Linked DNA regions of Lonchura striata. The protein of the gene in region 1 interacts with the protein of each later gene in a pairwise test. Links are inferred from orthologs where the notes say so. Each region holds a gene or a part of one and is shown in the gene's direction. Other genes may lie near its edges.

The links.
Region 2: the proteins of DMRTB1 (region 1) and EXOSC1 interact in a two-hybrid assay, tested with the Homo sapiens proteins (2 studies listed by BioGRID). The link is inferred for Lonchura striata from reciprocal best matches to the Homo sapiens genes DMRTB1 and EXOSC1.

What each region holds. Positions count from the first base shown.
Region 1 is NC_134611.1:9,254,838-9,261,691, reverse strand, and holds the start of DMRTB1 (doublesex- and mab-3-related transcription factor B1), read left to right. Parts: upstream 1-3,848; coding exon 3,849-4,332; intron 4,333-5,665; coding exon 5,666-5,898; intron 5,899-6,465; coding exon 6,466-6,610; intron 6,611-6,854.
Region 2 is NC_134609.1:18,916,321-18,924,078, forward strand, and holds EXOSC1 (exosome complex component CSL4), read left to right. Parts: upstream 1-4,977; 5' UTR 4,978-5,002; coding exon 5,003-5,033; intron 5,034-5,236; coding exon 5,237-5,352; intron 5,353-5,525; coding exon 5,526-5,600; intron 5,601-6,178; coding exon 6,179-6,267; intron 6,268-6,481; coding exon 6,482-6,515; intron 6,516-6,640; coding exon 6,641-6,691; intron 6,692-6,769; coding exon 6,770-6,854; intron 6,855-6,957; coding exon 6,958-7,115; 3' UTR 7,116-7,249; downstream 7,250-7,758. Other genes in the region: palmitoyltransferase ZDHHC16, read right to left, coding at 1-62, 645-692, 914-1,047, 1,252-1,280, 1,486-1,574, 1,761-1,955, 2,460-2,696. UniProt on the Homo sapiens protein: Non-catalytic component of the RNA exosome complex which has 3'->5' exoribonuclease activity and participates in a multitude of cellular RNA processing and degradation events.

The sequences.
Region 1 (6,854 bases):
AGATAGGGATCTTTAAACATTATCACTTATTTGAGAAAAGCATCCCTGTGTTTGTGTTTGTGTGTGTGTGTGTACTTATGTCTGTCTCACTCTTTTCCCCTTAATGCATTTTATTTCTTGCTTATATGAAAGGCATATTGATGCCTCTCATATAAGAGCTCTCATAAGAGCTGCTACGTGTTTGGTTTCCTTGCTGGTGTTCATTTCTCTCCAAGTCCACCCCACCCTTCTGGAACTCATGAAATATCCAGATCACAGAATTACCAGTTTAATCAATTTTTTCTTTTCTCTTAAATAAAGATCTTGTTACAATAAACTAACAGCAGTGTTTCTAATAAAGTCTCTGCTGTTAATATTTAAGAACTGTTATATGTAAAAAAGATACTCAATTTTAAGTACTCAAGATTCATTTTAGTTGTGTTTGTTAAAGAAACCAGAAGTGCTTATATAACTTTGATACATTTTTAAGACTTTAAAATATGTATAAACTCCATCCAATTTTCTCTGATCACAGCAGAGAATTTCACCTTTTTGATACAGCAGATGAAAGTCAACATCTAATTGTGCTCTGGTTAAAACTGTTTCAAATAAAACAACAATAAAACCCCACACACCTCAGTGGAACTCCTTCTTGCACTACAGAAGACAACATTTTAAAATAAAGGAATTGATGCTGAAATAGAATTGAAAAGTAAAATCTGTGTATTTCAATTTAGAGAACTTAACTGCAACCAGATTTAAAAAAGGTTTAATCCAAACACATTTCATCCATTTCAAATTTTAAGGTAGCTAGGATATAATTATATTGCACTGTTTCTATGCTGCACTTTCCCTCACATTAAAAAAAAAAACAAAGTTTACTACAGTACAATTTCACTCTGATTAGAAAAGTTGAAAATACAGTGTACAGAAGTGCCTGGAAGAAGTTTATTCATTGTCATGTAGGCTTGTTTTGGGCAGGCTCAGCCAACCTCGTGGGCTTGTCAGCAGGGAGCTGAGCCCTGCAGCTCTGTGGCAGCCCTGATGGATGTGTGCTGCTGTGAGCACAGCAGTGAGAGGGGATTTGGTACTGCAGGTCAGCCAGAGCATGTCTGAAACTCTTTCATATTTTTTTACAAGGAGCTTCTAACTATGAGGATGCTAAATATGTTACTTCTTAAAATGATATTCTGGGACAGGTGAAGGTGAGAGTTCTTCATGGGCAGTTCTGCCTCTGCAGCTGTATCTCCACATGTCGATTATGCCCTAGCTGAGTTGTAAACTACACAGTTATAATGGAGAAGACCTGGTAGTAGTACTACTATATCAATTTTTATATCATAACTTATGACAGTCCATAATGGATACTTCAAAACTACAATGATAAAAAGGTAATTTTTGAATAGAGGATTTAACCTTCATATGTGATGTCTTAAAAATTTGAAAGATAGTCTTGATTTTTTATGTATAAGAAAATGTACTTCAAACCAAGTGTGGAAATATTTATTAATGGAGATCTCAGACTGAACAAATTTCTTGATTAAGTTTCTGTTGCTTGAAATGCCAGAACAATTTTCTTGCCACAGAAAAATTTTCTTGCCAAAAAACATTTATTGTATGAATATTAGCTGGAAAGTCTGAGAAGGAGGGGAAAAAAAATAAACCCTAATTTCCTGCTATTCACTTTTATGACAGTCTTTTGATTTGTTCCCTTTTAGCTAAGTCATTGCTTTTCCTCACTGTTCCATGTACAAAGCAAACTGCACACCAAAACCACACACTTTATATGATTCAGAAGTTGGACAGGACTAGAGATATTATTGCTATTTGTTTCAATAACATAAAGTCAGCAAGTTGCCTTCCTTTCATGTTGGCATGATAATAATTCTTATAAATGTTACTTTAATACACAATTCTTTACACATTTTATGTTCTGCTCCCACCATATGTTACATAAAATGCAAGAGAAAACTAAGTTTTGAAGAGTCTTTATTGGGCCTCATTTTCTTTCAAATATGAACAAGTAAGAAAATTATAATAGACATGAAGCTGCATCCAAACACAAATCTACACTTCATTCCAAAAGTGTATTTAGAAATTGTTCTATCTTCTCTCTGCTATGGTCTTCTTACAGTGTGATTAAGCTAACTCAAATATATATACAAAAACATAACAGGATTGGAGTAACAGAATTCTCTGAACTGCCTGCAAAAACAAGGATTTGCCTCACAAGCAAAGCAAAATGTTCACTTTTCTGCAAAAAGCAAGTGTAGTTATGTTTGAAACAAACTATATGGAGACTATAATAAATCTTGAGTGTTTAGATGAAAGTTGTTCAAAATGAAAATCCACATGACTTTGAAAGCAATTGTTTAATTAGTGAAGAAACTGGAACAGCCCATGGCTGGTAAGCCATTTTAGAAAGAGAAGGGATACATTACTGTGTATTTGAGTAAATGTCTTGAAGAATAGTATTATGTGACTCAGAACAGAAAATTACTGGGGAAAATACATGTAGCCTACCTTTCTCCCCCTCTGCTCAAGTATCCAAATGAACACAGATTGGGTATCTATGAAAAGATATAATTACAGCTTTTTAAAATGTGTCATCCATCCTCTTTCATTCTACAGCTAAATTAGCACAACCCAAGCATACAGTAAAAATATGGAGCATAAAATTAAGAATATTTTATCTGTCTATATGTAATAGAGTCCGTGTTTAGAAGGAGTACGGGAAGATCAAGGCCTTGGCAAAATCCTACTGGAAACCTGCAGGACTTAGGTGCAAAGTCTTACTGGGTCTTCTGCAAAGTGAGAAGCCTGGAATCTCGTCTGAGCTTTGGTGGGCACAGGGGCTGGCTGCTTACTGCAAAAAAGAGACTTGTTGACAAACCACACTGTTGCCAAATCCCTAAGGGGCCTGCTCTGCTGGGGCCTCACCCCCCAAGGTGTTGAAGGGTGCACCAAGGCTATCCGGGATTCTTTGCACCAAGGGAAGGGCTTCTGCCAGGTTTGTGAAACAAACTCCATTGCAGTTAGAATTGTTCCAGAGCAAGCAGATAGATTCTGCCTGGCTCTCTTGAAACTTAGTAGAAAGAGTGTCTACTACTTGGTGATTAATTTTTATCGTGTTCTCTTTAACATAGAAGCTATAGCCACCTTAAGATTTTAAAACAGCTGTTGTATAGGTAAGAAAATTTAGCAGTGTAGTGCCTTACGTTGCAAAATGAGGAGTTTTCTCCTGAAATGGGCTATTGTGTAAATCACGGGTTTGCAGCTACCAGCAGTAACAAATATCAAGTGCTTTCAAAGCAATACTAGAACTGGAGCATTCCTGTATTTCTAACTGTAAGCCTGTCTTTGTTTCCAGAGAATAAGGAATTCTGAGAAAAGGAGACAGGTCGTTGGAATGACATATGCTTTCTACCTTTGTCTTAGTAGCTTCTTTTGGAAAACAGAATGATCAAAGTGTTCTTTTTCTGCTGAGGCAGTCACTCCTCCTCATCAAGAGAAGCATGCTGCAAATTGGAAACAAAACGGGACAGCAGTCCCATGCATATTAAAACCGAATGCATGAGAGGTATGAAAGTGGGTGCAGATGTTAAAGTGCCAAAAAGGAAAATTATCTTTTAGGGCACTACTGTAGGGACATGGCATTTCTATCCGTGCACAGCGGGTCCATCCAAACCCCCCACCCCGGCGGGCAGCAGCGCAGAGCAACGTGCCCCCCGCAGCTCCCGCAGGCTCAGCCCCCCGCGGCTGGGCTTCGGCTGCCGCCCGCACCAAAGGGCCGCGGGGGTGCCCGGGGGAGCCGTGCCAGGCGCAGGGCAGGGAGGCTGCGGGACCCGGCGCGCTCCCCACCCGCTGCCATGGGCCCTCCTGCCCGCCGGGCCCGCTTGTTACATCCCCTGTCCCATATAAAGCCAGAGGGCGGGGAGGGCCTGGCGGGGGGTCTGGGCAGTCGCTGCGGTGCCATGGAGGCGGCCGAGGACAAGGCGAAGGCGCTGCGGGCACCCAAGTGCTCCCGCTGCCGCAACCACGGCTTCGTGGTGCCCGTCAAGGGCCACGCCGGGCACTGTCCCTGGAAGCTGTGCCTGTGCGAGAAGTGCTCGCTCATCACCGAGCGGCAGAAGATTATGGCAGCCCAGAAGGCGCTGAGGCAGCAGGAGACGGAGCCGGCGGTCAGGGCGGGCGCGAAGCCCGTTCCGTCGGGCGAGGGCCGTGGGGCGGCTGCCCGAGAGGACGGGGCCCCCGAGCACTGCAGCCACGAGAGGAAGACGGGCGCCCAGCCCGACAGCGGCGGCAAGGGCACGGCATGCTGGGGGCCACCGCCATCTGCCTTCAGGGAGGACGGTAAGGACCTGTCCCCAGAGCCTTTTCCCAGCATCTCCCGCTGTTCGCTTTCCCCTGTCAAAGGCGCCACTTGTGCATTTCGCTGATTCCTCAGGCTCCGGCTGCCCGGGAGCCGCTCCTGCATTCTGTCCCGCTTTCCCTCCCCGGAGGGCACGGGGCTGGCATGTCGGTTCTGCAGCCTCGTCCGCCCCCGATGGCTTCGCGCGGGGCGCAGGGCGGGAACAACGTGCTCAGCCTCGCCGCCCCTTGCGAGCTCGAAGCTTAAGCAAAGTGGCTTTTCACTGAGAGGGAGATTGATCTGGGAGTGCAGCAAAACTGGATCTGCTCTGCTTGTTTCTTTGAGTGCTGTCACAGTGTTTATAAACTCACAGGCACAAAATTACAGCAGCAAAAATGCTAAAAAGCTCAGTGATGGCATGTAAATAGGTACAGTAACTGCTGCAGCTGTCTGTAGCAAGAATTTCATGCTAGCACTGTAGAAGAAAAAGACCTTTTTGCCTTAATTCATACCTGTAACAAAAACTAAATTTGGTTGGGATAACTTGATGTAAAAGTGCATTTGGTATTTAATAGCAGGGCATGCAGTTGTATGGTCTGTCATCTCTTAAATGGCTTCCTTTAGAGTCTTTATTGTGACTTTTCTAATTTATTATAGTAACTCCATTCTATTACTATAAGAATGTTGCAGAAATTCTTACTGATGGCAGTAGTCATGAATCTGAGACTCTGGAGAGTTGCCAGACTGCAAGACAAAATGTTTGTCCTGAGAAGACTTACTTTGGACATCCGTAGTCCTAAGAGAATACTGTTACCCTTTTTAGCTTTGTTTTGTAATAAAAATAAGATTCAAGAAAAAAAGTGAAGTAACTGATTTCTGCTTCAGATTTGTTTGTGTATGAGCCTAAAACTGTGCGTGCTGTAAATTAACCTAAGAAGTGACAGATAGGACTGCGATATTAGAATGCTATAAAGTTAGAACTCGGCTATTTCTGTGGAATTTTAAGTACCACTAGAATCAAAAGTTTAGGTAGGCTGTTTTGCTCCTGTTGATGTACTGAAAGAATAAGATTCTGCAGCCAGTGCTTTACTAAGGACAAACTTCAAAGCACACAACGCAGAAAATAATGCAGAATAACTGCATTACAGTGTCATCTGCTGTACCTTTCCTTAGTTCATTAAAAAAATCACAAAATCAATTCATGGGGAGCTAAACATGAAACCAAAGGACCAGATTCTCCTGTCTGAGAGTGCAATTTTTTCCTGTAGCTACTTCTACATAACTCCATAAAATAACATGGATAATTTTATTTGTTCTTTTCTCACTGTTTCCTAGCTCAGCCTGCTTTTCCTCCAGAATACACTGTCAACCCAGAATACCTGGAGAGAGAAATCCCAAAAGTGTACCCGGGATGTTCTGGGGTATATCCTTACCACCCATTTCCCCTGGGATTTGCCATCAATGAGTCAAGCAGTGGGGAAGCACCATCACCTCCAGGGATATCACTTCAGAGAGGATTCCGACACATTCCTAGCAGCTATGTGCCAGGGAATGCAACCACTGTATCAGTGAGTAGCATGCTTTTAATTACCTGTGCTAATACTGCTTTATTTTAGCTGCCTTCTCTCTGTTGAAGTAACCATGAAGAGTCATTTCCCTTATCAGTTACTTCATACTATTTTGATACCATTGATACATTGGCAAATGATGATGTTAATAATCTGACCTGCTTTCAGTACAGTTCATCAGTTGATGCTAAGGTAGAAAAAAATCAAGACAATAAACAAAACAAACAAACAAACAAACAAAACAAACAAAAAAACCCAATAGATGCTTGTATTGAAATTCCCTGACACGTTTTAGGGGCTACTGAGAAAGAAGATGGCTGCTCCTGGTTTAAACCAACTACTCCAATGAGTTGCTAGAACAGGTGACAAGGACTTAAAAGGGTCAGTTTTCCTCTGATATGGTCTGAGAAGTTCTTGCTCCTCAGTTGCAGCACAGGCTTTCCATGTGTCAATATGTGCACTGACTTGGCAGCATATGGACAAAAACCCAGAAATGGTCTGATAATGCAGATGTATGCTGGAGAGAGTCTTTAGATACAAAGTGATCTGCTTCATGTGTTTCCACAGGTTCCAGATGGAGCTGGAGATTTCTCTCAAGGATACTACACTCCTCTGCATCAGTTCATCCCACCAGGTTTTCTGACAGGGATTCATTACATCCCAGCTCCGGTTTCACTGAACATCCTGGCTGAAACAACCAAGGAGGTACATGGTAAGAGAGAGTCATGTTAACCTGGTTTCAATATCTGAGAACAGAGATGGAAACCCAAGAGACCCTGATCCCAGCTAGTTTTGACCTCTGTGATTGAAGCCAGGCCTGAAGTCCTGACTGGACTGGGCCAGATTGTAGAGCTCTGGGAAGGGCTGACCTAGGGGAGGCAGCCTGCCATGCTTGGGCTTTCCAGCTGACAAGCACCTCAGTCTGAGGCAGATGCCAAAGGCCCCAGGACTCAGAG
Region 2 (7,758 bases), on another chromosome or scaffold:
ACGCTCTTGTGGAAAGCTCTCTGGCGGAAGGAGAAGGTGGGTGGTGGGGTCTGGTAGTATGTCTGAAAAAAGACCAGATGGGGAGGATTACCCAAACTTCTTTACAACTTGAAGCCAGACAAGGATTTCTGCGCCACTCTGTGCTGCAGAGCTTGGACAGCAAGAAAGGATTGCAGCTGGAACTAATGCAACAACCACAGTGAGGGGGAGGCAACCTGGGACAGCCATGAGACACAGACAGACAATCAGAGCTGGCATAGGTGTGAGGAACAGGGGGCTGGAGGTAAGGGGGCAGGGAGCAGCCATGGGCCTGGTCAGGACACTGCAGCTGGGGGTCATGGAGAGATGTGTATGCAGTGCTGCAGATTCACCAGGAGACCATGGCCTGAGCAGCACATGCCAAGAAGCTGTCACCAACCCAAGCCCCTGGAAGCTGGGTGCAGAGAGGCAGACCCCAAGCTGCTGGAGGCATTGTCCATAGCAGAGCTGCCTGACCAGCCCCAGCTCTCTGACATGTGAGATGAACACAGGGGCTGGTTCCGATGTAGGGTGCTCCTTGAGAACAGAGCCCCAAGCAGGACCCAGCCTGCACGGCAGCTCTGCTCCACACTGCCTGGAGAAGCTGGGGGGCAGGGATGTCCCACCTGGTTGGCAGCCACCTGCAGTCTCTCCTTCTCAAGCAGTTTCATTCTCTAGGGGGATGGAAAACAGGGCACCAGTTATGTGTCTCAGAGGAGTGGGACAGGGGCCCTTCCCCTCGCACCCCCCTAGGACCATAGCAGCTGGGGGCCTTGCAGGAGGAGGAAGAGGGAAAGCAAAGTCACTATATGGCTGGGCCTGGCCCAGCCTTGCTCTGCAAGTTCAGCCTGGGGAAGCCAGGCAGTCTTGGCGCATGGCAGGAGAGGCTGCTCACCTCAATGGCTGCGTAGGCATCCCGGAACATCTCCCAGCCGCTGATGCTGCAGTAAATGCAGCCCATGGTCATGAAAAAGCAGAAGGAGAAGAAGTAGCGGTGGTTGTAGTGTCCCACACAGTTGTTTAGCCAGGCTGCCTCTGGGGTTAAAGGTACATAACTGTGACAGACCATGGGTCCAAACCCAACCCAGGGACCAGGGCAGTTCTTCTGCGCCCTGCTCCCAACACCCATTCCTATGCTGGCTGTCTCCTCAACAGAAGGGACTGGGAGAGAAGGGAGAAGCAATGCTGGCTCCCCCCAGGAGTGTGCCACTGGTTAGTACTGCAGAAGGATACGGCAGTGGTGGTCCATCTTCAGCACACACCTGGGAGAGAAGAGACCAGTGCCAGTGTCAGAGCCAGTGCAAGTGGTGTGTTTGGGAGGGGACAGGCACCCCCCAGCCCTGCAGGCTACAAGCGACAGGGCAAGGAGGTGGCAGCGCAGAGGAGAAGGGCCCCTGTCTCACACTGGGGCAGGGGGTGAGGAACAGGGTTCCAAAGGCTGCCCTGGGCAGAGGGAAGGTGCCCTACCTGTTGCAGATGCTGCAGTGATGGGTGCGAGCTGGCTTAGGGGCAATGCATTTTCTGCAGATGGACACGCCAGTGAGGTCGTTCTTGGCCTGTGCACAGGTCAGAAGAGATTTGCACATCTTAAACCCTGCATCTCAAACTCCTGCTCTCCTCTGTGCCACCCCGCTGCCTCCCCACTCTGCACTGCCCAGCCTAGCTTCCCAGATTAGAGGCATCCTGCAACAACATTATCAGGCTGTTCCCAGTGACCATCCATAGCTCACTTGGTGCCTCACCTGTGGTGGGTGCCCAGGTGAAGTGGTGATAGCCATGTAGTAGTGGAAGACAATCATGATGAGGTTCCAGTGTCCATAGGCGAGGTGCCAGCATATCCAGGCAGGTGTGTAGGTCTGCAGGATGAGGGGCAGCAGACAGATGTACACGATGGCCACAATAGAGCTCGTCAGCCCAATCACCAGTGCCACAAACACCTACAGAAAAGGGACCTGGGTCACTGTGTGGGTCTCAGATTCAGTCAAAGAAAGAAACTGAGAGTTTCTGGCCAGGCAAAAAGCCTGGGAAAGAATGTAAATAATCCTTTATCTCTCTTGTTTTTCACACTGTTTATAGTTCTATCACTGTGCATCAAGCACTTTGCACCAATGCTGTAGGTTGTTTTCACTTCAGAACCAATGGATTTGATCATTGCGAAGCTCTGTATAAAAGAGCAGCGTATTTTGAATAAATCGGAGTTTTACTCTCAGCAGCCTTCTGAGTCAAGTCTATTCATTCCCATCCTGCCTCGACAGAGATATCACTGGAGTGGGCAGAGCCTGCCCCTTGCTGCCTGGGAAGAGGCACGGGCAGGACAGAGCCAGAGGAAACCAATCTGAACCGCACACTAAGGCTGCAGCTCACTTCCTGCCCGAAGGACAGGCAGCCCTGAGCCCGCTGCCCCAGCACCACGTGTACCCTGCCCCATGAGGGGAACTCACCACACCAAACCATCGGGTGACGTGGTCCACCAGCCAGTAGACCGGCTCGAAGAGGGAGTCAAGCACCACGTCGCCATTGGTGAAGGAGTTGTAGAGCAGGGAGCGGAGGCAGAGGTGCCCGTAGTGCCACAGCTGCTCCACCTGCCGCACCAGCTTGAACCGCCGCCGCCGCCCCAGCCGCAGGCACTTGAGGAGCAGGCGCATCACCGCGGCGAACATCCGCTGCCGGCTCCTCATCCCCGCCACACCACGCCTGGGGGGACAGGAGCTCGGCGTGGGCAGGGCACCCTGCTGCCTGGCTGTGCCTCGGGAAGGGCTTCCCCTCCCGGCCGTGCTGATGCCGGTAGTGCAGCTCCCTGAACCGACAAGGATGCCGAGCTGGAGAAGCTGAGCCCAGGCTCCTGCAGGCTGCGGGGCCGCTGTCGCCGGGATGTCTCTTTGCACGGAGCAGGGGGCACAGGCCCCTCAGCATCTGGGCTCAGGTGCTCTCTGGTCCCATCTCGTCTTTCCCAGCGGGGAGGGGGCCGGGGGAGCGACACGGAGAGTCTGACTCAGAGGAAACCAGAGAAGGCATGAACATCCAGGATGCTGGGCCATTTCCAGAGATGATTTCAGCCCTTCCCAACATGTTCATGAACAGGGGAATCCACACAAGGAAAATGTGGAGGAGACAGTACAGGATTACCCCTCCTCCCCTAGCCCCTCCTTAAAGTGAAGGATGCTACTTCCCTTCACCTCAACTTCTGGACCAAGCTGGTAGAGGCCACCTTCCCAACCTCACAGCCTCACTCCAAGAGTCCCAACATTTCCTCTTTCTCCTTGCCTGAATCATTGAACAGTACCACACACTAGCAAATGAGAGGCCCAGGGACAGCCCCGGGCCAGTGCTCCCCTGCCCGCTGAGCCCCTTGTCCTGCCTGAGAGCTTTGCTGGGAGTGACGAGGAACCTGATCTGGCCCAGCACATGGGAAAACGATCTGCAGGGCTGGGGCCCCCAGGCCTCTGTGCAGGCAATACCCATCAATATTAAGCAGCGAGGCTGCCCCGGGGTCCTGCCAAGGCACGTTCTGAGCTTGGGCCAAGCACTTGCCTTGGTCTGGTGCCAGGCACCGGTGCCAGAGCTCAGGGTGCCTCCAGCAGGGATCGTCCCACTGCGCTGAGGTGCCCACCAACACAGCCCCTGGGGAGCAGCAGGGAGGGTGAGGGCAGAAACTGCACCATCCACATGGGCTGCCCAAAGAAGCCAGGGCTCTCCTCCACCCTGGGCCTGAGGAGTGTGGGGTTGACCCCAAAGTTGGGATCTACTGGACATGAGGACCCCACACCCAGCAGCCCATTCCAGGTCACAGACATGGCTCCTGCCCTGGTATGGCAGAGGTGGGATATGCAAACATCTGCATCACCCTCTTCTCCACATTTCCCCTTTTGTATGCCAAGAGCTTTTCCTTGAAGCTCAGCAGGTGCAAAATAGAGCAACAACTTCCTGCCGTTCAGCCTTTGGATGGCACACGTCCCCGTTTTGTCAGTGTGGTAAAAGACAAATCACAGCAGCCAGAAGCAGCTGTTGAGGTCAACCCTTTCCTCCAAAGACACAGCACTTTCCTGTCCCACAGAGAAACTTCCTCACCTACAGCAGCGGCAGCTGCTGGGCAGGGAACCCACAGGGGAGGCAGGAGCCCGCTCCAGAGCAAGACCCGCTGTCCCCAGGCACCTGCCTGAAGACAGCAGCGTAAGCACAGACACGAGGCTCCAGCAGAGCCACGCAACTTTCTCCTGCCCAGCCGGGCCCTGGGATCCACCCCTCGCCCTGCTCACGGCGCGGCACCGAGCCCATGGGAACGGGACAGCAACCAGCACAGACAGGAGCACTGGCAACATCACACCGAGGGGTGGGGATCCTCGGATTTGGCCCCACCCCGGGCAAAGGCGAGGCCTTCCCCCGCCAGGTCCAGGCCCCCCGGCGCAGCCCTGTGGCACCCTCCGGTGGCTGCACAGCGCCCGCTCCCCCGCTTCAGCAGCATCCAGCCCCACTTCTCTGTCCAGAGCCAGGACATCCCGGTGTTTAGCCCCATCCTCAAAGGCTGCCCACGCCGGCAGCCGCACCGCCTCCAGCCCCGTCACAGCCCGCAGCATCCCCCCGCTGCCCCCAGCCACAGACCGCACCGCTTCCCGGCTCCGGCCGCACAGCACACGCAGCATCCCCATCGCCTCCCGGCCCCCGCGCTCCTCGCCCCGCAGCCCCTCTGTATCGCCGCCCAGCCCCGCGGCAGCCGCAGCCCCGACAAGCCCGCAGCCCCTCGCAAGGCCCCGGCGCCGCCGACCTGGGCCCGCGCCCGCCGCCGCCATGCCCGGGCCCCGCCGGCCCACGGGCAGCGCCCGCGCGCGGCACGCCGGGAGCTCCGTCTGCCGCCGCCGGACTACAGCCCCCAGCATGCCTCAGGTCGGCTAGGCGAGAACCAATAGCCGCGACGCTTACAGCGCAGAATTGACGTCCAGAACCAATAGGATGAGGGCTTGCTGGTGAAGCGTTGTCGGCCGCGGGCATGGCGCCGCCCGCGCGGTACTGCGTCCCCGGTGAGTGCGGCCCGGCGCTGTCCGGGCTCCCGGGACTGGGGATGCTACCGCCCGGAAAGGGAGCGCAGTGGGCTAGGAGAGGAGTAGGGACGAGGCAGTGCGGAGGGGCTTGTCCCGGGGATGCGCCGCACTCGGCCGGCTGGGAGCGGGAGCTGTGCCGGAGCGGGCCGGTCCCCGGCAGCCCCTGAGCCGCTGTGTCGCAGGTGAGCGGCTGTGCAGCACGGAGGAGGCCACGGCTGGCAGCGGGACCTACACTCGCCATGGCTTCATCTTCTCTTCGCTGGCTGGCTGCCTGGAGAGGAAGAACGAGGACAACGAGGTGAGCGCGGCCGCGGCACGGCTGCTCCTCCCCGGGGCTGCGTGCTGTGCACCCAGGCTGCACGGCCTCTCTGGAGACTGGGCTGCGGCAGGGAGTTGGACTCCGATGGGGTTCGGCCGGTGGTTCTGTGCACAAGCTGTGCCCTGTGCTGACGCTCGTGTCTTGCCCTGCAGCTGCCCGTGGTGTCGGTGGTGAGAGACAGCAAGTCCCAGCTCCTGCCCAACGTGGGGGCTGTGGTGACATGCAAGGTGGGGCGCTGGAGCACTGCGTTGACAAACTGCATGGGCCTCGACTCTGTCTCATACTGAGCTTTGTTCCTGCACACGGATAGGGTGGAGTGAGGAGTCCCTGGGCTTCTTAGTGCCTTCTGTACAACTCCCACCAGGGCAGGGGCAGCCCAGGGGCTCCCTTGAGTTTCTCACTCACCAAGTGGGTATTGGCATGAGGGACACCTGCCCTGAGACTGAGGTGGGCTTGAGGGGAGGATTTTCTTTGCTCTCCTTCCATAACTCCTTCCTGGGACAGGGAGTATGCAGGTCAGTGCCTCAAGCAGCTTGTAGAAAGGATGACATGGACCAGGGATTAGTTTCCTTACATTCCTAGTGGAGGGAGAGGGACTGAGATCACTGCAGGTCTCAGCCTTATTCTGGTGCCTCGAATTGCACAAATATAATCATCCTCACCTGGCTTGCTGCCAGGTGTCCCACCGTTGCTTGGTCACAGCGGGGAGGAGGAGGCCAAGTGAGACCTGAGCTCCCCATGCAGCCCTGCCTGCTCCCTGCCCTTTCCCTGCCTGGACCACTGATTCCCCTTTTCCTACATGCAGGTCTGCAGTATTAACTCTCGCTTTGCCAAGGTCCACATCCTGTATGTTGGCTCCACGCCGCTGAAATCCACCTTCCGGGGCACCATACGGTAGGGAAAAGGTTAGGATTCCCCACCCTTCAGGGGGAGGAAGGCTGTTGTGGGCAGTGCAGCTGGCTGCCCTGAGCTGGAACTCTGCCCTGAGCACTGGGCTGGTGTCCAGCGCGTCCTGGTGAGCACCCAGGAAGGCTGAGGCAGCTTCTGCCACAGGCGGTTGAGTTGTCTTTGCTCATTGGCACTCAGATCCCTCCATCTCCTTTTTCAGGAGAGAAGATATCCGAGCCACAGAGAAGGATAAGGTCAGTGAGCCACTGCCAGTTGCTGTTGTACACCCATTGCCCTCCAGTTCCTGCTTGTGGGGGCCCTGTCCCCCCACTGACAGCACCCTGGCGCTGTGTGGCATTGCCTGCTCTCTCCTGTGCAGGTAGAAGTGTACAAGAGCTTCCGCCCCAGTGACATCGTCCTGGCCAAAGTTGTATCCTTCCTCCTCAGGGACACCGTGTTGGCTCAAGCTCCCTTGTGGAAGTGTGTCCCTTAACCCCTGTCCAACCAGATCTCCCTGGGGGATGCACAGTCCAACTACCTGCTGAGCACAGCAGAGAACGAGCTGGGTGTGGTGGTGGCACGCAGCGAGGCAGGTAAGGGCAGGACAGGGACAGAGACAGGGACTGGGCTGAAACAGTTCTGCCTCATTCCTGCCTTGGGGGCAGCTGATGCAGCTGCCTCCCTCTCCATATGGAGGAATGCAACTTTGGGAAAGAGCAAGTCTGACATTACGTGCCCAGGGGTGCAGATGGTGCCCATCAGCTGGTGTGAGATGCAGTGCCCACGGACACACACCAAGGAGTTCCGTAAGGTGGCCCGGGTGCAGCCCCAGTTCCTGCAGACGTAACAGCTGAGGGGGGCAGGGGGCTGCAGCACTGTGGCTGTGGAGCCAGAGCAGCCCCTGGGCTCCCACCTCCTTCACAGGTTCAGCCAGGCCTCCACTGGCAGGATGGGTTTGCTACTTGTGGATAATAAATTTTTTTTGAGAGCTTCCTGCTTCGTTCTTTACAGTAAGTGGGGGAGCCAGGGCTATCCATGCACTCTGGTCTGGCTCCCACAGCACAGCAGGTGAGGGAACAGCTTCCACAGCAGCAGGGGCAGAAGGAAGCACATTTTCACTGCTGGTGAAGGGGAGTGATGGAGTGACTTTGCTGCAGTGACGCCAACAGCACAGAGCCCCAGGCTGCAGCTGTGTTGGGCACTCCTCACCAGGTTGGTTTCCCCACACAGGAGTCAAGCCTGGTGCAGAGCCTGTCTCAGCTCACCACTAACCAGTGTGGGCCGTGGCTGAGAATAGCCTGGGGACGTATCTCATCTCCTCAGGCCACACATGCTTGCCCTGCCCTATGGAACAAGGGTGTGGTACACACAGACCAAAAACCAGAGCATGGCAGGGTGTCACCCTCTTGGGCAGAGATTGCAGAGCTGAGCTTTGCTCCTTGAGCCTGGCACAGCTTCTGCACCCTCCTGTCTGTGCCCAGCAGGGATTGCTGCCTT